2 linked regions of the Elephas maximus indicus genome follow. The protein of the gene in region 1 interacts with the protein of each later gene in a biochemical or structural test. Links are inferred from orthologs where the notes say so. Each region holds a gene or a part of one and is shown in the gene's direction. Other genes may lie near its edges. The genes, in order: LRP1 and THBS1.

Region 1 (10,839 bases):
TGGTTTAGGTCTATGATCCATCTTGAATTAAATTCAGGTATGGTATGAGGTATGAGAAAACATTCATTTTTTCCCCCATATGGATATCCAGTTGTCCTAAAGCCATTTGTTGAAAAGGCATGCATTTCCCCATTGTATTACTTTGACTCCTTTGTCAAAATCAAATGACCTTTAAGTGTGAGTCTATTTCTAGTTCTCTATTCTGTTCCAGGGATCTGTGAATTCTTATGCCAGTACCACACCGTCCTGCTTACTGTAGCTTACAAGTCTTAAAGTCAACTAGTATAAGTTCTCCAGCACTGGGATTTTTTTTTTTAATATAATTTTTATTGTGCTTTGAGTGAAAGTTTACAAATCAAGTCAGTCTCTCACATATAAATTTATATACACCTTACTACATACTCCCACTTACTCTTCCCCTAATGAGTCAGCCCGCTCCCTCCTTCCAGTCTCTCCTTTTGTGACTGTTTTGCCAGTTTCTAACCCTCTCTACCCTCCTATCTCCCCTCCAGACAGGAGATGCCAACACAGTCTCAAGTGTCCACCTGATACAAGTAGCTCACTCTTCATCAGCATCTCTCTCCTACCCATTGTCCATCCCCTTCCATGTCTGATGAGTTGTCTTCAGGAATGGTTCCTGTCCTGGGCCAACAGAAGGTTTGGGGACCATGACCACCTGGATTCCTCTAGTCTCAGTCAGACCATTAAGTCTGGTCTTTTTATGAGAATTTGAGGTCTGCATCCCACCGTTCTCCTGCTCCCTCAGGGGTTCTCTGTTGTGTTCCCTGTCAGGGCAGTCATCGGTTGTGGCCGGACACCATCTAGTTCTTCTGGTCTCAGGATAATGTAAGTCTCTAGTTCATGTGGCCCTTTCTGTCTCTTGGGCTCATAGTTATCGTGTGACCTTGGTGTTCTTCATTCTCCTTTGATCCAGGTGGGTTGAGACCAATTGATGCATCTTAGATGGCCGCTTGTTAGCATTTAAGACCCCAGATGCCACACTTCAAAGTGGGATGCAGAATGTTTTCATAATAGTATTATTTTGCCAATTGACTTAGAAGTCCCCTTAAGCCATAGTCCCCAAACCCCCGCCCTTGTTCTGCTGACCTTCAAAGCATTCAGTTTATCCCGGAAACTTCTTTGCTTTTGGTCCAGTCCAGTTGAGCCGACCTTCTGTGTATTGAGTATTATCCTTCCCTTCACCTAAAGTAGTTCTTATCTACTACCTAATCAAGCACTGGGATTTTTAAAAGCTCCCCAGGTGACTCTAAGGTGCAGCCAAAGTTTGAGAACTCTGAGAACATTCTAATGTGAGCCAAAGTTTTAAACCTTTCTCTGTCACTCCGCTCTAGGCACAAATGAAAAACCAAATGGTATACCTGATCCTACCCTCCTTAGTGTCTATAGAATCCTTCTCTTCCTCTCCAACTCTATCACTGATGCAAGAATTTTTAAAGACATCGATTTCTCACCTGGCTCCCCACTACTTCTAGAAAAAAATGTTAAGTCCTTAGTTTAGCACACAAGGCCCTTTGTGATTAGGGTCCCTGACACTTCATCCATCATCCTCTCCAATAAGTATGTTAAACTTCAGCCATACCATATTTGCAGTTCCTCAAATGTTTTAAGCTTCCTCATGCTTCCGTATCTTTGCCTGCCCTCCTGCTTAAAACACCCTTTCCTTCTGTTTTCACTTGCTGTTTCCTTCCTCCTTTTTTATTTCCTTCCTCCCTTTCAACCTTTACCCCGGCATCATCTGCCATGCTCTGCCCTGATCCCCTTATCTGGAATAGGTGTGCTTCCCTGATTCCCATGGGTCTCATGCATGCCTTTAACATAGACATTAGGGCACTTAGTGTAATTGTCAATCACCTTTTTTTATAGAGCAACCCCACTATCCTGTAAGCTTCTTGAAGGCTGAGACTGTGTTTCCATCTCATATCCCTAGTGCCTCCTGGCACATCCGGGGTACCTAATAAATGTTTCTTAAATGAATGAAACCTGGGCTCAAATCTGCACTGTGATTTGGGGCAGATTCCTTAATCTCTCTGAACTTCTATTTCCTTATCTACGAACTGGAAATAACACCTATGTCACAAGGTGGCTTTGAGACTTCAGTGAGCTAACTCACCCATACTAACCTATTGCTGCTGAGTCGCTTCCTACTCATAGCGACCCCGTAGGACAGAGTAGAACTGCCTCACAGAGTTTCCAAGGAGCGTCTGGTGGATTCGAACTGCCGACCTTTCGGTTAGCAGCCATAGCTCTTAACCACTATGCCACCAGGGTTTCCATGTAAAATCTATTATATGGGCCTGGCACATGGTAACCATTCAATAAATCTTCATTCTCTTTTCTCTCCCCACCTTCTACCAGATCCTTCAGAGATACGCCTTCCTAATCACACTTCTCTAACTGACCACTAGGTGGTGACAGTCTGGCCTGACACTCCCAGAGCTGCCCTATTAATGCCCCATCCCAGGCAATGTTACACTCAATGAAGAAGAAAAAAACAACAACAAAAAAAAAACCAAGCCCATTGCCATCCAGTGGATTCCAACTCACAGCGACCCTCCAGGGCAGAGTAGAACTGCCCCATAAGGTTCCAAGGAGCAGCTAGTGAATTTGAACTGCTGACCTTTTGCTTAGCAGCCAAGCTCTTAACTACTACCAACCCAGGGTTTCCTCAATGAAGAAAGGGGGATGTTTAATAATTTGCTGAAAAATTTGCTGAAGGATCCAAAAAAAAGGAGATATCCTCTTCCCACATCAACTTCTTTGCCCACTGCCACCATTCTAGGTATCCTGATTATGGATTGCAGAGAATTCTTCCCTGATATCCCATTATTTTCTGTATAATCTAACCCAAGGGTTTGAAGATAAAAGGAAAAGTTTCTTAAGAATAGAAGTGGGGAGAAAGAGAAGAAACTAAGGCAGAGAGGAATTGAAAGATGAGTGCTATAGGAAAACATGAGGAAGCAAAATGCTTACAGTCATACCCTACCCACCACCCACTGCCGTCGAGTCGATTCTGACTCACGGTGACCCTATAGGACAGAGTAGAACTGCCCCATAGAGTTTCCAAGAAGCACCTGGTGGATTCAAACTGCCGACCTCTTGGTTAGCAGCCGTAGCACTTAACCACTACACCACCAGGGTTTCCAGTCATACCCTATTCGACAATAGTTATTAATGGCTGTCTCCTCTACCAGGGCAGGTGCCCCTAGTTCTAACACTCTTGACAGGCTCCCCACGGATCAGTCAAGAACTCCTAACACTGAGTGGATACCAAGAAGTAAAGACATGGTCCCTGTCCTCGAGAAGTTTATACTTTGGTGGTGGATATAGGACACACATAATTAAGTGCTAAACTCTGAGTACTCAGGCTATCTTGAGAGCAAGTTTGAAAAACAATAGATGGGCAGAGCGAGAATAACAAGAGAGCTTTTCTGAGGGGAAGCTGGGGAAACAGTATAATTAAAGGCTCAGGTAGAAATATGCATTCTCTCATCTCACAGAGACACCTCAGCACTTCACATACTGGAAATTACCCAAATGCCAACCAATCTCAATAGATTGGGGTACCCAAGTAAGCAGATTCCAAATTAAAAAAAAAAAAAAACAAACTCATTGCCATCAAGTCGATTCTAACTCATAGTGACCCTACAGGAGAGAGTAGAACTGCCCCATAGAGTTTCCAAGGAGCACCTGGAGGATTTGAACTGCCGACCTTTAGGTTAGCAGCCATAGCATTTTAACCACTATGCAACCAGGGTTTCCAGATTCCAAATAGCAGATATAAATAGTATGAAAGACATATACATACTATGTGTAAAGGGACCAAGATAAGTTTGTTGAAAAAGCAAGTTACAGAACAGTATATATTGTATGAATTCATTTGTATTATTTTAAGGATATTCATTTATATATATATTTAAAAACTCCTGGAAGGATACCCAGGGAACTGTTAGTAGTGGTTACTCTGAGGGTGGGGCTCAAGAATGGTAATGTGGAAAGCAGCAAGTTTACTCTTCACCTTGTACCCTTCTATGCTCTGGGTTGTTCTAACCACTAAGCATGTATTATATCTTTAAATTGTGGTAAAAAAATATATAACAAAACATTTGGCAATTCAACAATTTTTACATGTACAATTCAGTGACATTGATTTTGTTCATTATGCTGTATGACCATCACCACTATCCTTTTCCAAATTACTCCACTGCCATGAACAGAAACTCAGTGTCCCCTAAGAAATGGATCCACCTCCAATCTTTACTCCCACCCCTGGTAACCACCAACAAACTTTGGTCTCTATATATTTGCCTGCTTCATATAAGTGGGACCATACAATATTTGTCCTTCTGTGACTGATATATTTCACTCAGTACATTTTCAAAGTTCATCCAAGTTGTAATATGTGTCAAGATTTTATTTTCCTTTATAGCTGAGTAGTATTCCATTGTATATATATACAGCACATTTTGTTTATTCATTCATCTATCTCTGGATGGACATTCACCTTTTGTGAATAGTGAAGCATGCATTCTTTTTCACAACATAAAGTTCATAAAAATGAATACACATTCACATTCAGGAGATGGCAGTTGGGGTACGTTGGGAGGTAAAAAGTGAAAAGTCTTACAGGCTGGCCAAGGCCAGGTTTTACACCATGACTGTCTGGGAGAAAAGTTCACATTTGGTTTAGTTGTCTACAGATACCCAGCAGAAGTTTACCAACAAGGAAGAGAGACAGGAAAGCAGAATTTTAGGAAGACTGACAGAGGGGAGGGGGAATGAGACTGCCCTCTCACAGCCCCCTGGGGCTACCTATGGTCACTCCAGGTATCTTTTTACTTTCAAAGCTGCCTGAAGCCTATTTTAACCTAATTTCACTTGGATGACAATATTGGTAGGGGCCCTGGCAGAGGAAGGAACCTAGCAGGTATTCATTAATAACATTTAGTTAGTCCCTGCCGTGTGCCTGGCACAGCGCTGGGCCATGAGGGCTGGATAAAAGGATAGGTAAGACCCCACCTCTACCCAGAAAAACTTTGTCTGGAAGTGGAAATGGAGGAAATCATAGATAGATTTCAAAGGGAAAAATGACAGGCCTTGAACATAGGCTTGCACAATTGGATGTAAGAAAGGCCCTGAGAAGTTGGCAATAATTTTGAGGCTTCTAGCCTAGGTGACTAAAGACGGGTGAGGATGGCCGAGCCAAGCAAGCCCAGAAGCAGCACAGGCTTGGGGGAAAAGTCGAGATTCTCACTCCCTCCCACTGTCATTAACAGCCAAGTCCTCCACGATGCTCACTTTTCAGCCAGGGGCAGATTGGAGTGGGGGTTTGGGGCCCTTCCTTGACTAGAATTTTAGGAAGATGGGTGGTCCAATGTCCCTTATCTCTAAAGTCAGTTTCTGGCAGTCCAAGTCGCCTGCCCTAGGTCCCTGAACCCTGACTTCCAGACACCCAGAAAGTCAGACACCACAGCTTTAAACATCGCCCAGAAGGGGGCGGTGGCCAGAAGCACATTCGCCGGGCTCTGGGAACCGCCTGGCGCCTTCTGGACTCAAAGTAGCATTCCCGTAAGGGATCAGGGCCGGGACAAAGGTCCAGCCCTCAGCAGGCACCCCGAGGCCTGGAATTGGAGGTCCAGAGTTCTTCATCTTACTCCAAATCTCTGCTGCTCAGAATCTAAAACCCCGATTTGGTGAGAACCCAGCCCAAAGGTATAAAAACAAAAAAATAAACGAGCCCCCATATCTTGGGGCAAGGGGGGGTGGCCCTTCCTCAACCCCACCCGCTAGTGACTCACCTCCCTCCAAACCAGGGCCTGCCCCTCCGGCGCCCGGTGCCAGGCAAGCAAGGCGGAGCGGGACTTGAGGTGGGCTCCATCCCGGAGCCCTAGGTGAATGGACAAGCTCTGGCGTGTCCCCGCGGGTGTCCCTGTTTACTCCAAACCCGGGAGCGAGTGGGGGCGGCCCCTCCCCCACCCCGCCCCCTCCGCTGCAGGCCCCAATCCCAGTCACCGGTTTAGAAAGTCTCCAAATCAAAGCTCAGTCTGTCCCCGTACCTTCCCCGAGGATTGGAGGCCCCAACACCCACCCCCACCCCCACCCCCGCCCCCACCCCCGCCCCCACCCCCACCCCTACCCCCACCCCAAGCTGAGAAGGCACAGGCCGGGTTCCCCGAGGAAATCCGGCCTCGCCCCAGACCACGGGATATTGGACCCCCCAAGAGGGAGCCTGAAATCCTAGGGCACGACACCGAGTTTCAAAGACAAGCCGTTCTCTTCGCCCACTGCCCAATCCCCCCTCCGCCCGTCCAGCTCTCCGCAGGGGCGCGCTCTGTTAGGAGAGAGGGCGCTGTGGACCCCAAGCCGGCTAGCTGGCCCCGGGACCCCTACGCTCCGTCCGCTTCTCAGAGTTCCAAGTCTTGCTGCTCCTATGGAGCCCCCACCCCAGGGCAGCTCGCCAAACCCGCGCATGCGCACTAACCGGATTGCCGCGTAGCTCTTCCCCCCCCCTTTTCTTTCCCCGCCCCTTCCCTCCCTCCCTCTTCTCCACGTCCCCTCCCTCTCCCCCTTGGCCCCCCCCCGCTGCACCTCAGGCCGGGGAACAGCGGTTCGAGCTCCCGGCCAGTGCACTGAGGAGGCGGAAACGAGGGGAGCCCCCAGAGCTCCATCAGACCCCTTCCAAAGGCTCCCCCACCCGGTCCACGCCCCCCACCCCACCCCCGCCTCCTCCCAATTGTGCATTTTTGCAGCCGGAGGCGGCTCTCAGATGGGGCTGTGAGCTTGCCCGGGGAGGGGGAGAGAGGAGCGAGGAGAAAAGCAGTGGGTGAAGGGTTTGGATTTGGGGGCACTGGGCGCACCCCCGTCAGCAGGCCCTCTCTAAGGGGCTCCGAACTCTGCCTCTTCACCCACACCCCTGGTGAGCTTGGCCGAAGGAAAGAATAAGAATAGAGGAGGGGGGGAAAGGAGGAAAAAGGGGGACCCCCCAAATGGGGGGGCGAAGGCGAGAAGTAGCAGGACCGGAGGGGAGGGGGCTGCTGCCTACATCAGCCCGCACCATGCTGACCCCGCCGTGGCTGCTGCTGCTGCCCCTGCTCTCAGCTCTGGTCACGGCGGCTATCGACGGTGAGTGAGATTCCGCGGCCCCCGGGACCCCTGGGGACACCCCCTCCCCAGCCCCCGTTCCTGCGTACGGATGGGGAAGGGAGACGCGGGAGGGGGTGCCTTTTGTTATCCCAGTCCAGCTGACACAGCAGCGGCCCCACTGGGGACACCGATGGGGGTCTGATTTGGGGGATGGGGGCCCTAGGCAAATGATGCTTCCAGGACCCCCCAGGCCAGACAAAGGCCATAGGCCTGGATAGGGAGAAGAGGGCTCCCCCTTTCTGATCCTGGGATCGAGAGGCCTTCTCTTTCTATCTCTGGTCGGGGAGGGCCTCCACCTCTCCTTCATACACCCCCCCCCCATTTGAATTGTGAAGGAATTCGGATTTGCGATATACGGCAGCAAAAGGGGGCGGGGGACCTTCTGCAGTGGCCTCTGAAGCTCACCGGGGATCTGGGCCAGGGGCGTCCTGCTGGGCAGAGGGCTAGCAGGCCCAGGAAAGCTGTGGGTGGGGAGAGGGAGGACCACGGGGAAGGCCCCCTGCTTGGGTGTGGAATCTGGGCCCCAGAGCCCAGGCATGGAGGCCTGGGTCCAGGATCCAACGGGCTACCTACCCTCCTGGGTTCTGGATTCAGCACTTCCCCCTCTCAGGGCCTCTGTCAGTAGCCTGGGTAGGGCTGTGTTGGGGGGCGGAGTGGGGGGGCAGGCGATGCTATGTGACTGAATTTTCTTTAATAATTCCTGGGAGCGTTGAGATGGAAAAAAAAAAAAAAGTCAGATGTCATCATTGGGGAAGGGGACTAGAGAATGGCCTGGAGTGCGGGGGGTGGGGGGGGGGGTGTTGCAAGGCTGCTTTCTTCCTGACTTCTGCTTGATCACAGTTTGCACTAGAAGGAGAGTTGGAGATTGGGTGGGGTTTACGGCTATCCCCCACCCTCTAATTCCCTGTCCTTTGGTAAATGTGTTTATTTACTTCTCTGCCTCCCATACACACACACTTTGTATAGTACAGAGAGTTAGGCTTAAGCTAGAACTGTGTTCCTTAGGGAAAAGGGAGTTACCCCTCCCCTTTTTCTGCCAGCTGTTTTTTTCTCTTACTTGTGAGTCACTGGTTCAAGTCTTGCCCAAGCTTTCAGCTGGGACCATGGGGCTGGGCTGGGCCCCTGATTTGAGAAAGGATGGACTCACATCCCTTCCTGGCATCTTAGCCCCCTCATCCAGGGATGAAACTGGGCCCAGTATCTGCCTGTAACTAGAAACAGCCCTTCTTTCCCCCACTCACCCCCTCCTCCATCTTTTAAATTTTGCCAGGTTGGGATTGGGAAAGTTTTTCTCTAAAACCAGATTATCTCTCCCTCTCCTCCCCTCCCCCCAATTTTCATCAGTTCCTGGGGCCAGGAAGCAGCTGTGCAAAGAAAGAAGGGTATATTCAGTGGCCCTCAATTATGCCATCTTGGGGACTGTCTGTCTGCTCCCCCCCACCCCATCTACCTCAATTATGTGCCCAAGAGAAGGGAAGAGGCTGTGCCCTGAATACCCTGCAGACGAGTGCCAGCCCCTACTCAGGACTCCCTCCTTCATGCCTGTTCTTTTCTCTTGTTCACAGCCCTGTGGCACCCCACAGGGACAAACTGAGGTAAAGGGATTTGGGTGCAGGAGTGTCTGGGAATGGGTGGAAAAAACATTTTTTTTTTTTTTTTTTAAGAAAGAGAGACAGACACATCAGAAGTCCTGTTACGGAGGGTGGATGGAGTTGGGCCGAAGCAAGGGAGTCTCTGTGGAAAGCACAAAAAGGTCCCTGGCCCAGCCAGGAAGGGCCCTAGGTAGCTTCACTCCCAGGGCTCTGAATCCAAAACCAGACCTGTTGCCATCAAGTCGATTCCAACTCATAGCAACAGGGCTCTAAAGCGGGTATATTTGTCACACCAAGTTGGCTGGTGGATATTAGAAGAGGGAGACTGGACATGTTCTCCTTACTGTCTCCCTAAAAAAAAAAAAACCCACTGCCATCGAGTCGATTCCAACTCATAGCGACCCTACCCTTCCTTAAAGTCCCTGCCCAGCCCCCCTCTGTATTCCCTGCTCAGACTGAACTCTATCCAAAGTCCTAGGAGAGGACTTCTTCCCAGATACCCACTAATAGCCTCATCTTGGAAATGGAAATATGAAAAATCAGTTCCACCTCACTCTGGGGGATGGGAATCTCAGAATTGCTCAGAACCATACCACAGTCGGAAACCCTGGTGGCGTAATGGTTAAGTGCTATGGCTGCTAACCCAGAGGTCGGCAGTTCGAATCCGCCAGGCGCTCCTTGGAAACTCTATGGGGCAGTTCTACTCTGTCCTGTAGGGTCGCTATGAGTCGGAATCGACTGACAGCAGTGGGTTATACCACAGTCCAACTCTATCCAGGAGTAGCCTAGAGGATCCCCTTATCCATACTCCTGCCCTCATGCCTCAGGCCTACAGAGACTGAACTTTCTCCTTTGCTTTCTACAGAAGAAAACCTCTTGACCCCAGGTTACCTGACCTAGTGTCTAACCTTCCTTCCTCCTTCTGTCACAGGTCTGGCTGCCTTCCCCCCATAGGAGCAGTCCTGGAGGCCTTCCCCACCTTGCTTTGGCCTTATCTTCTGGGTCTGAACCTACCCCCTGGAACCCCTTTCTCTCTGGGGAGCAATGCCACTCCCCACTAGTAGACAAAATTGAGTGCAATTGTTACTGAAGAAGATGAGAAAGAGATGGGGTGGGGAGTGGGAAGAGAGAGTATTGAGGGCCCAGCTGAGCTTAGGCAGCCAGACATAGGGAAGAAGGTCGGCTTCCACCCTCTCTCCCTACCTGTCTCCAAAACCCCCTTGAGCAGGTTTATTACCAGTGATCAGGCAAGGTGTACAGTTGAAGTGAGTTTGGAGGCTAGGGTGTTAGCCTTCTGGCTCCCCGAGAGATGTCCCAAGCCCCTTTTTCCCTTGACCAGACCCAAATCCTTGAACATCCCCCTTCAGCCTCGTTTTCCAAAGCAGGGATGTATAGGTTGTTAATTTTGGGATTGAAGGGATATTTTGATGTTTGAGACTGCTCCACAATTTTTCTTTTCTTCCAGTCCTGCTCTTCCTCCCTCCATTTTCTCCATATTTTTTTGCCCTCAACCACTCCTCCATCACTGTGGCTCCTAAGGATGTCAGCCAGGACCCTGGCTAGAGCCAAATCCCCCATTCTTCAAAGCACCTTCCTTACCTTGGGGAAGCCCTTCCTTCAAGTCTAACTCTCTTCCCTCATGCTGTAGTGTCAGCCTTTGCACTTCAGAGCCCCCAGGCCTAGGGCTTATCCCCCTTCGGTGTTATCTTCTCAAGGTCCTCTCGCACACCCTCAAACTCTCCATCTCTGGATGTGGGGCTCACTACCCTCGGGTGGAGTTGAGTGGGGCTGTGCAGAGATCCTCAACCGGGTATGAGCATTCAGGGAACCTGCTCCCCCATCGTGTTCTGTCCCAGATTTCAGCTGGGTTAGCAGGATCCTGCATTGTTTGGAGAAGGAAGCAGTTGGCTCTGGAGTGCTTCCGGAGCAGTGGCCCCAGGTCCCAGTGTAAGGCCACCCTGAGAAAGATGGAGGGGGCAGTCATCTCTCTGACTTCTGCAGGGAGATGAGAGTCCCTCCTAGGCCGAGGGGCTCCAGCCCTCCTCCCTTCCTCCCTCTCTCCCACCCCTATGGTACCTATTCTGAG
Region 2 (9,995 bases), on another chromosome or scaffold:
AAGGAGAAAGGGAAGAAGGACCAAGGGAAGGAGAAAGAGAAGGAAGAGGAGGAATAAAAAGGAGAGGTAAAGAGGAGAAAAAAGTAAAAGAGGAAAAGGGAAAGAGAAGAAAAAGGGGGGAAAGAAAGATGAAATGAGAAAGAAAAGGTTCCCTCTGTTACATCTCTTCCCAGGGAAGCAGAAGTGCTTATGTTGTGTGTTATAATAAGACTAAAAGCTTTTTTCTGACCTTACACTCATCTTCTTAAATTAGAAAGAGTGACAATTCTTTTGGCTGAGTTCTACAAAACACAAGTTGTCACGATCTCACTATTTAAAAAACAACAGTAGAAAAAGTAACCTCCCAAGAGATTGAAGTCACTTAAAACAAATGCCCAGCAACCCAGCCATTTGGTCACTGTCCACATTGCCCACGGCATGTGGGTCTTTCATTCCAACTTAAAGTGGATGCCAATCTCCATGTCATTTTCAATCTTCAAATCTTTTCACACCACCCCAACACTTCCCAGCCATACTAGGATTTTTCTTTACATTTATTGTCTTATTATTTTAACTGACACTAGTAATTTTCTTCTAAGAGAAAAAAAAAAATAACAGAAAAGTCGGAAATAGATTGCACTTGTGAAGGCTGTTTAGAAAAATTATCATTTCTAAATGGGTGGCTTGAAGTAGCATGTTAAGCCTCAGAAAAGTTAAATTCTTTAGGAAAATTGTGTTTAATCAGTGTCAGAAGCAAACTCTCTCTTGCAAGTTCTGGAAACTCCATTGTTTCATACATTTGCAGATTCATAGACTCTTTTAGTGAACAGGGCTCTGGAAGTTGCTCCATGTATCACTGTGGAATCTTCGTATCTCTGAGATGAAACCTAGCCCAGATTCCAGATTAACTGCATAATCCATATTATTTGTGAAGATATCCATAAAATATTTCACAACCTATTTCAGCAACATTCCAATCTGTTATAACCTTCACTTTCAGGAAATTCTTTACTATTTCCAAATATATTGTTATTGCTCCACATCCTTTGGAAAATAAAGACAGTGACACCTCTAGAACCTCAATAAGAAAACAAAAAGTTACAGAACTAAGTTACATTCTCCTCTTCTGTTGTACTACTGTGGGATAACCAGGCGCTCAGTGCTCTTCAAGGTGCTAAAGAAAAATTAAAAGAAATAGGTTTCGTCATCAATAAAATGCATGAACTAGACAAGCACTAAAACTGCCCACCCATCAATTTATCCATTTATTCAACAACAGCTGATGAAGCAGAGATTACAAAGCAAACAATCTGCCCAGACACAAAAACTGACCAATAAACAATTAAAAACATAGGCAATGAATGCTAAAATAGTTCTATGTAAAATGCTATGGTAACAAAGGTGAGGGAGGGGCCATAAATGTACCTGATGTATGAATGTGTGCGTGTGTGCGAGTGCTGAGACAAGCTGTCAGAGCAAGCTACTCAGAGTGACAATATTTGAGTTGGACTTTGAAAGATGGAGACCTTGAAACTGGTGGTTGGCCAGAAAAAGGAGTGAGATGGAGGGCCAGGGGTGTGAGTGAAAAGGAAAACCCAAAGAAGGGAAAAAGTTGTACCAGCTATGTTTGTGGCTCTAAGTAATTAAAAAAAAAAAAAAAAAAGGCTTAAATAATAGGCATATGTCCAAGGAAATCTGGAGGTAGGATGGCCTTTAGGGTTGGTATAGTCAGCACCTCAAAAATGTGATCTAAATTAAAGATTGTTTCCATCCTTTTGCTCTTACTTCTACAGCATTGGTTTCATGCTAAGTTCGGCTCCCCTTGTGGCCAAGAGCACCAAACAGAGCATATGGGCATTCTTGTTTGTGCCCAAATGGAGACAGAGAAAGCCTGATCTCACATTGGTCTTTCTTAAGAGCAAGGAGTCTGGTGGTATGGTGGTTAAAGGATTCAGCTGCTAACTGAAAGGTTGAGTTCAAACCCACCAGCTGCTCTGCGGGAGAAAGATATGGCAGACTGCTTCTATAAAGATTACAGCCTTAGAAACCCTATGGGGCAGTTCTACCCTGTCCTATAGGGTGGCTGTAATTCTAAATCCACTGATGGCAATGGGTTTGGTTTTACAGGCTTTTTTTTGTTTTTCTTAAAAGCAAGGAAGAACTTTTCCCAGAAGCCTTCAACAAACCTCTCGTTGGCCAAAATCTGGTCACATGTCAATTGCCAAGCCAATCAGTGATGGAGGCGGAGGTTACCCTTAAACCAATAGTTCTACCCTCTCCTACTGAGGTCAATTCCCCAAGAGTATTGCTTCAATTCTGTGGGGAGGGGAGTCAGTCACAACGACCATCCCAAGAGCTAAGTCATAACTGCATGAAATGGTATACAGCTGGTCAGTCCTTCTATGCTATAAATTGACTGGAGCATAAAAGGCTTCTTCCCAAATCTAAGCCTTTGAGTACTTACAATCTGGTACTTACACACAAGAAAACAAAAATTGATTTAAAATTTTTGAAAACCAGAGTGTCAGATGATGAGTTACGTGGTAGAGATAAGACATGCTTCACAGTTTCAAAGAAAGAAGAGACAATGTAACGTAAACCCATGGAGAACATCTTCTGGTGGAGGGGAGCTTGAGTCTGTGTTTGATTGAAGGATGAGAAATATTTATGGGCAGTTTCCTCTGGCTCTGAACATTGAGGTAGCTGAACTAAAACCACTTTGTTCCGTGATCTAGGGAAAATATCCAGAGAAGATGAATTTATGATGTCTGTATTCTGCAGATGCTATGATTTTGGACTATTCCAGCATATAATTGTAGAGATTTTTTGCTGCTCACCTCTAAGAAGTTTTCCAGTGCTGAGCATGTCAAGCAATTTTTTAAATACCTACACAAAATCACAGCCCTCTTTGATGTTTTTTGATAAATAAATAATTTTTTTTCTCAGTTATCTTGCTATTCTTAATCACATACAATTCTTAAACTAACTACTACTTACAGTTTTTCTTCCCATTTACTGGCAATATATTTAGGGCACTCCCACCTCCAATTAGGGGAACATGGAAGAAGAAAATCCTACAGCAAAAGTATCATATGGCTTACAATTTTATTTTAAGTAATCCTCAGGTCAGTAAGTGATCTTCAAGAATGACAACTTAGGTTCATATCAGCTTATTGGCCTGAAATCCTAGCATTTCTAAGTCGAGGATACACGTGCATGCTCGCGCACACACACACACACAAGGGATGATACCCCCCACATTAAAGTAGGTAGACTTTCTTTCCCATTCCCATCTTTCCATTCCTACACCTTCCAAAGCTTCCCAGAGGGATTTGAGGCGTCTGTCAAATATTCGTAGCCCACATTGACCAGCAGGAATGTGGGTGAGCTCCTAAAAGCTGCCCAAACTCTCCCCTACTCCTTTCCACTAGAAGTCTTCCTTTCCACCAGAACAACTGGAAAACCATGCGTTGGGGAAGGCCTTTGTGTTTGAGATAAATAACTCCTATGCCTCTGTCAGGTCCTTGGGTCAGGCAAGCAGTTAACAGGCTTGTCTGCTAACCAAAAGGCAGGCAGGTCAAGTTTACCCAGCAGCACGTCAGAAGAAAATCCTGGTGATCTCCTTCCCAAAAAACGCCATGGAGCACAGCTCTGTCTGACACGCGTGGGATCACCGTTAGTCAGAGTTTACTTGACAGCAACTGGCTATACCTCTGTCGGCTTTCTCTGAAAAGACAGCCCCTCCCTGCCAGTATCTCCGTCACCTTTCTATTTGTAAAGCATGTAGAAGGTTAAACTTATTCTTGTTTTGTTGAAAGAAGCCAAATTCCAGGAAAACTCCAGACACGTTCCTACAATCCCTTAGTCACAAATGTTTGTTTCTACTCTACCCGTTCAGTTACGTTGAGTGGAGGTCATCTTTTAAGGAAAGGTGCTTCCTGTCTTTGTGGCCTTCTTGTAGACCTAGAAGCCCTCATCTCATCTGTATAAATTATCAAATGGGCCAGAGACGTCTGTAGGCCATCAGCTGGCCATTCCTCCAAGAACTGTTCCTGTGTACCAGGTGTCATGAAGAACAGCAAGTAAGAAAAAATAAACCATCTTTCAAGGAGCAAACCGGAAGCTGGGGAAGTAGCAACAAGGGGGAAGTTACACGGGTGGCTGCTGACCCTGAAATCTTCAGAGGGGCTCAGATGAATCATTACCTCTGACTTCCAGGACAGGAATCTGATTTGACTACTTATCTGACAGAAACTTTCATTTCTGCCTCTCAACATCTGAAATCTCTCTGGCTGTCAAGTTCAGTTATTAAGCAACAAACGTGTCTTAGGAACACACTTGTCATCTTCTAGAGGTACTGGAGTAACCGGAAAACACGCACTCTTTTGTCCCCGCACACACATGCACCTTGTCACACAACACCCCCACGCCAGAAAAGTGAAATTGCTGTTTGATGAATGTAAACTCATGGGTGTTTCCAGCAGCTATGAGTTCTGCCAAGTGTAAGTACTAAGAAAGGGAGGTGGACCCAAGGGGTTATGCCGGCCTGAGGCTGAGATCCTTATTTGGTAAAGCCACTACCTGCGCCCTGTGTCTCCGGGCGGGCGGCCTGATAGCGCTGGACCACAGCAAGGGAAACGGTGGCTGCTGACGTCCCAGCCCGAAGAGATGAATGGAATTCCAGGCAGCTCCAGTCATCACGCTGGCTGGGACAGTGGCTTGGAGACCAGACTTCCAATGACAGAAACATTAGGCAACAGCTCTCATGGCACTGTGTGCACCCACAGAAATGTAACCCACACTTCGGTTTCGGGAGCCGAAAAATGAAAAGAACGTTTAGCGAGGAAAGGGGGAAATAAAATGATAGACAGGGAGGGTAATTTATTACTCGTTGGGTCTGTTCTGTAAATAGTTTAAGACTCTGGGGCCAGATGGTTCTGCAAATTCTCCAACCAGGAGTCACGTTAAGAAGCACGAGTGGGCACAAAAACTGTTTTTCAAGACATAATTTCACTTTTGGCTTGAGGGAACTGGATACGAATACGTTTCCTTAAAATTCCTGGCTAGAAAGACACAATCCTCTTGGGTTCCTGCGATCAGAATTCGCATACCGCCCCCAAGCGGCAAGCTGTGGAACCGCCGCAGCAATTCAGAGGCCAGAGTTTCGCAGGGACTCCCGCCGCCGCTGCGGGAACGTGTGCGCCTAGGGGCAGTGTGAATGCCAACTAGGTAGGCCGCCCCTGCCGTCCTAACGCAACATCACCTCCCTTAGTGGGTCGGAGAAGGGCAGGAGCGCGGCGCGAAGCTCTCTGCCCGTCAGCCCCAGGCGTGGGGTCTCCCCACCCCACCTGGATGGGTCGACAAATACCCAAGAGACACTTTCTTTAATGACTGGTTGTCTCTTGGTCCCATTTACCGTCAGGTTCCCTATTTTACAAACGGGCTCCGTCTCCAAGAGTCCACACCCCCCAGCCTTCGCCCACACATTCCAGGAGGCGGATTTGCCTGAAAGCTCCCTAAGCGTCCTGGGTGGGTCGCCAAAGCCCCGTCATTGCTCAGAATATTCCCACTTAAGGAAGGGGGCCCGCGTGGCGCAAGAGCCGTCTTGCTGACCGGTGCGCGCCCGGCCGCGTGGGCGGGCACAAGCGCCTGAGAAGTCGCAGTGCACCCCTGCTCCCGACCCCCGCCTCCCTCTCTTCTGAGCTGGAAAGTTGCGCGCCAGGCAGCGGGGGGCGGAGAGAGGAACCCAGACTGGCCCCCCTCCGTTTCCTGCCCGGCCGCCGCCCATTGGCCAGAGGAATCCCCAGGAATGTGAGCGACCCTTTATAAAAGCGCGCGGCTCCGCCGTCTCGGCAGCCACTGCATCCCAGCCGGGCGGTGAGTTCAGGGCTCTTGCGAGCTCCCTCGGCACAGCCTCCTACTTCTGCTTCAGCTTCCCCGGGCGCTGCTCCCGTCCCAGCGTCTGTCTGTCCAAGCCTCTTGGTGCGCCGCCACTCCCGGCCGCTGCAGCCGCGTCCACACAGGTAAGCGCACCCCGCGGCCCCGGACGGTCGCCGAGGACCAGTTCTTCAACCTGAGGCTTCGGACAGCCCCTCAGGGGACCCTCGGATCTCATTCTCTCTCTCTGTCTTCGCCTTTCCCATCCTCTCCCTCCCAGCCTCTGGGGAGGTCTTTTAGGGATGAACTCCAGAGCCACCCTTTCCAGCCTTGGGGTTCACACCCCAACTCCCGCAGGACGCCCCAAGATTTCCTTCCCTTCTCCAAGCGCTCTCCAAACCTTTCAGTCGTCTCTGTGGGAGACTGCCTTTCCGGTGCCCTCGGGGCTCCCCCAAACTACATCTGCTGGCCTTTCTTTTCCGTCTCGACTTCCCAAGAAAAAGCCCCCACATGGTTGGTCATTGTCCCCATACTTTTAGAACCACATCCCCTCCCCCATCTCTCCCAATTTCTGCCCAATTCCCTCTGAACACTAAATTCTGTAGTGCCTCATCCCAGCGAAGTGGGGCCAGAGAGGGATCCCCAGGTTCCTTGGCCCCAAGCCCAGGCCCCAGGCATTGCCCACACTCCCTGCTGCGTCTCTGACCCTGGCTCTGTGCTTCCTGCTGCAGGCTCCCTGCTGGGCACCAACAGCTCCACCATGGGGCTGGCCTGGGGACTTGGTGTCCTGCTCCTCCTGCAAGTGTGTGGCACCAACCGCATTCCAGGTGAGTCTGTGATAACTCTAGGGGGAGGGGGAAGAGGAGGTGGTGCTGGGTACACAGGTGTCTGGACTAAGCTTGAATACTTCGGGATGCCCCCATGCTCTCCTCTGCAGTTGTTTTCCCCAAAGCTTCCTGTCCTGCTGTTCATTTGGCTGTCTCAGTGGTTGCCAGGAGTTTTTACTCTGCACCTATGGCCATACCCTCAGAGCTGAGCCCGCCACCCCTGGCGCCTGTTTCAGCCAAGAAAACTCACTGTGTATCCTCCTCCTATCTCACAGAGTCTGGGGGAGATAACAGCGTGTTTGACATCTTTGAACTCACCGGAGGCTCCCGCAAGGGCTCTGGGCGCCGGCTGGTGAGGGGCCCTGACCCCTCCAGCTCAGCTTTCCGCATTGAGGATGCCAATCTGATCCCCCCTGTGCCCGATGACAAGTTCCAGGACCTAGTAGATGCTGTGCGGGCAGAGAAGGGGTTCCTCCTCCTGGCCTCTCTGCGGCAGATGAAGAAGACGCGGGGCACGCTGCTGGCCCTCGAGCGGAAAGACCACTCTGGCCAGGTCTTCAGCGTGGTCTCCAATGGCAAGGCGGGCACCCTGGACCTGAGCCTGACTGTGCAGGGGAAGCAGCATGTGGTGTCAGTGGAAGACGTGCTCCTGGCAACCGGCCAATGGAAGAGCATCACCCTGTTCGTGCAGGAGGACAGGGCCCAGCTGTACATCGACTGTGAGAAGATGGAGAACGCTGAGCTAGAGGTCCCCATCCAAAGCATCTTCACCAGGGACCTGGCCAGCATCGCCAGGCTCCGCATTGCAAAGGGAGGCGTCAATGACAATTTCCAGGTGAGGCCTCCTCTTTAAGTCCCTAGCCCCTGGGGTCATCTGCTAGCCAGGTGACCTGGCTGCTGGAGCAGGAGGTTCGGTACGGGAAATATTGTCTGTAGATGACAGCAGTGGTTCTCAAACTTTAGGGAGCATCACAATCACCTGGAGGGCTTGTTACAGTTTTTGAGTCAGTAGGTCTGCAGTGGGGCCTGGGAATGTACAGTTCTAGTAAGTTCCAGGTGATGCTGGTATGGATGTTGGCAGCCTGGGGACACGTGGAAAACCGCTAAAGGAAACAAGAAATGGCTCTTCAACAACTCTCAGCCTATTAAAGCCTTAAATACTCCTTAGTTCAAATGCATTCCAGCAACTTTACTATTGTTTCAAGTGGCTATTTTGTATGCACAGAATAAATACTTGGCAATTTGATTCCTCAGGGGGATGCAAAAACCCAGTGCCGTCGAGTCGATTACGACTCATAGCGACCCCATAGGACAGAGTAGGACTGCCCATTAGAGCTTCCAAGGAGCGCCTGGCGGATCTGAACTGCCGACCGTTTGGTTAGCAGCCATAGCACTTAACCACTACGCCACCAGGGTTTTCCAAGGGGATGCAGCAGGTCCCAAATAAAAGGTTAACTCGAAGATTCGGTTTTGTGCTGCTGCAGCTTCTTCCTCACCTGAACTTTTAGATCTTTGCAACTGTAGCTTTGAAACTCCCACATTTAACTCTTCGACACTGGAGAGTGTCATTCTATCCACTGGACTTAGTATCAGAGTCCATGTCCTGTGTACCCAAGTAGGCTGATAACTGAATTCTTTGGAAAATACTGAAGACTTGGCAGAAGACACAATTCAGATGTTGAAGTTTGGCAATTTGTATTGGCGTGTTGTTTTGGCAGAGTAGTCTCAAAATGGAGCCCTTTTCAGCTTTTAGAGCGTCCGTGGTTTGCTTTCCCTAGCATAGAGACAGCGGTCCTCCCTCCCCCCGACACTTACAAGTAAGGTGTGTCCTCTGTCCACAGGGGGTGCTGCAGAATGTCAGGTTTGTCTTTGGAACCACACCAGAAGACATCCTCAGGAACAAAGGCTGCTCCAGCTGTGAGTACCCTTCTATTTTTAGTAAACTGGGGAATTCCACCAAGACAACCTGAGAAACTTAAACAATGGTGATTGTGCACGAATTCCCCCTGGGTAACACAGTTACTAGATGTACACACGTGACCTCAAAGGGTATTCCACACACATCCCCTGGCCCCAAAGGAAGTGTCCTTTACAGCGAAGAACTCCAGGGACTGGCTGGAGAGAGCTTCTGTTTGAAGATCTTCTATTACCTTTTGTTTCTTGCCAGCTAGCAACGTCCTTCTTGCTCTCGACAATGTGGTGAATGGTTCCAGCCCTGCCATCCGCACCAACTACATCGGCCACAAAACAAAGGACCTGCAGGCCATCTGCGGCATCTCCTGTGATGAGCTGTCCAACATGGTCCTGGAACTCAGGGGCCTGCGCACCATCGTCACCACGCTTCAGGACAGCATCCGCAAAGTGGTCAGTGGCCCCTGTTCCCAGCTGCTCAGCATAAATCCTTGAAGGTTTACCACTGCTGCTCCCAGCTGACCTAAAATGAGGTTAAGCACTAATGAGCTTTCTCCCTCCTTTAGACTGAAGAGAACAAGGAATTGGCCAATGAGCTGAGGCGGTCTCCTCTCTGCTATCACAACGGAGTTCAGTACAGGAATAACGAAGAATGGACTGTGGATAGCTGCACCGAATGTCGCTGTCAGGTGAGGGATCTTTATAAACTAAAACCAGAATTGGTGGTATGTGTTTGAAGCCACAGTCTCCAGGGAAATACCCAAATGGCCATCCAAGTTCTTTTCATGCTCAATGGCCTGATACCAAAGTGGGCTTTTTTTTCCCCTCTCTAGGTTTTTCCTTAAGATGTAGTTGTGACATCTTTAAATTCTTTAAACTCTTAGAAGGTTTTTCAGAATCTTAATTACACCTTAGGCAGAGTATCTAAGAGAACAAATCTATTAAGACATCTGAATAATTTACTGGCTTTAGTTCAGACACTAAGTATTGAATGTCAGGTAAATAAAACCTTGTTGGAACATTCTTTTCCCTGCCCCCGCCCTGCAGTCCTGATTTGTATTCAGCTGTGACATGGTTCTTTTACTACAGTACTGATTGCTGTTCAGATCACTTAGCCCGACATTGTCAGGTCATAACTGGCTACTTAGCTCAAATGGCACCGCCTGTGTTTCTCTAGCTGTCTCCCCAGCCGGTGGCAAGTGACTTTGGGGGTTTACCTGGCTCAGAGAGCCACGTATACCTTAAATACAAATCACAGATTGCTTGATTTGCTTGCAAACTTCATTAAGTTCCCATTCCTCTCCAATATAATTTAAAGCCAGATCTACAGATGAGGAAAGCACTGCTAATCGGTTTTATTTTCCCCCTCAAATAAAGTCCCAGATGAATTTGAAGAGTTCA

Evidence for each region.
Region 2: the proteins of LRP1 (region 1) and THBS1 form a complex in vitro, tested with the Homo sapiens proteins (3 studies listed by BioGRID). The link is inferred for Elephas maximus indicus from reciprocal best matches to the Homo sapiens genes LRP1 and THBS1.

The regions. Positions count from the first base shown.
Region 1 is NC_064822.1:117,049,342-117,060,180, forward strand, and holds the start of LRP1 (prolow-density lipoprotein receptor-related protein 1), read left to right. Parts: upstream 1-6,606; 5' UTR 6,607-7,004; coding exon 7,005-7,140; intron 7,141-10,839. UniProt on the Homo sapiens protein: Endocytic receptor involved in endocytosis and in phagocytosis of apoptotic cells. Required for early embryonic development. Involved in cellular lipid homeostasis.
Region 2 is NC_064828.1:16,526,594-16,536,588, reverse strand, and holds the start of THBS1 (thrombospondin-1), read left to right. Parts: upstream 1-5,825; 5' UTR 5,826-6,002; intron 6,003-6,587; 5' UTR 6,588-6,616; coding exon 6,617-6,683; intron 6,684-6,958; coding exon 6,959-7,518; intron 7,519-8,524; coding exon 8,525-8,600; intron 8,601-8,850; coding exon 8,851-9,047; intron 9,048-9,160; coding exon 9,161-9,283; intron 9,284-9,995. UniProt on the Homo sapiens protein: Adhesive glycoprotein that mediates cell-to-cell and cell-to-matrix interactions.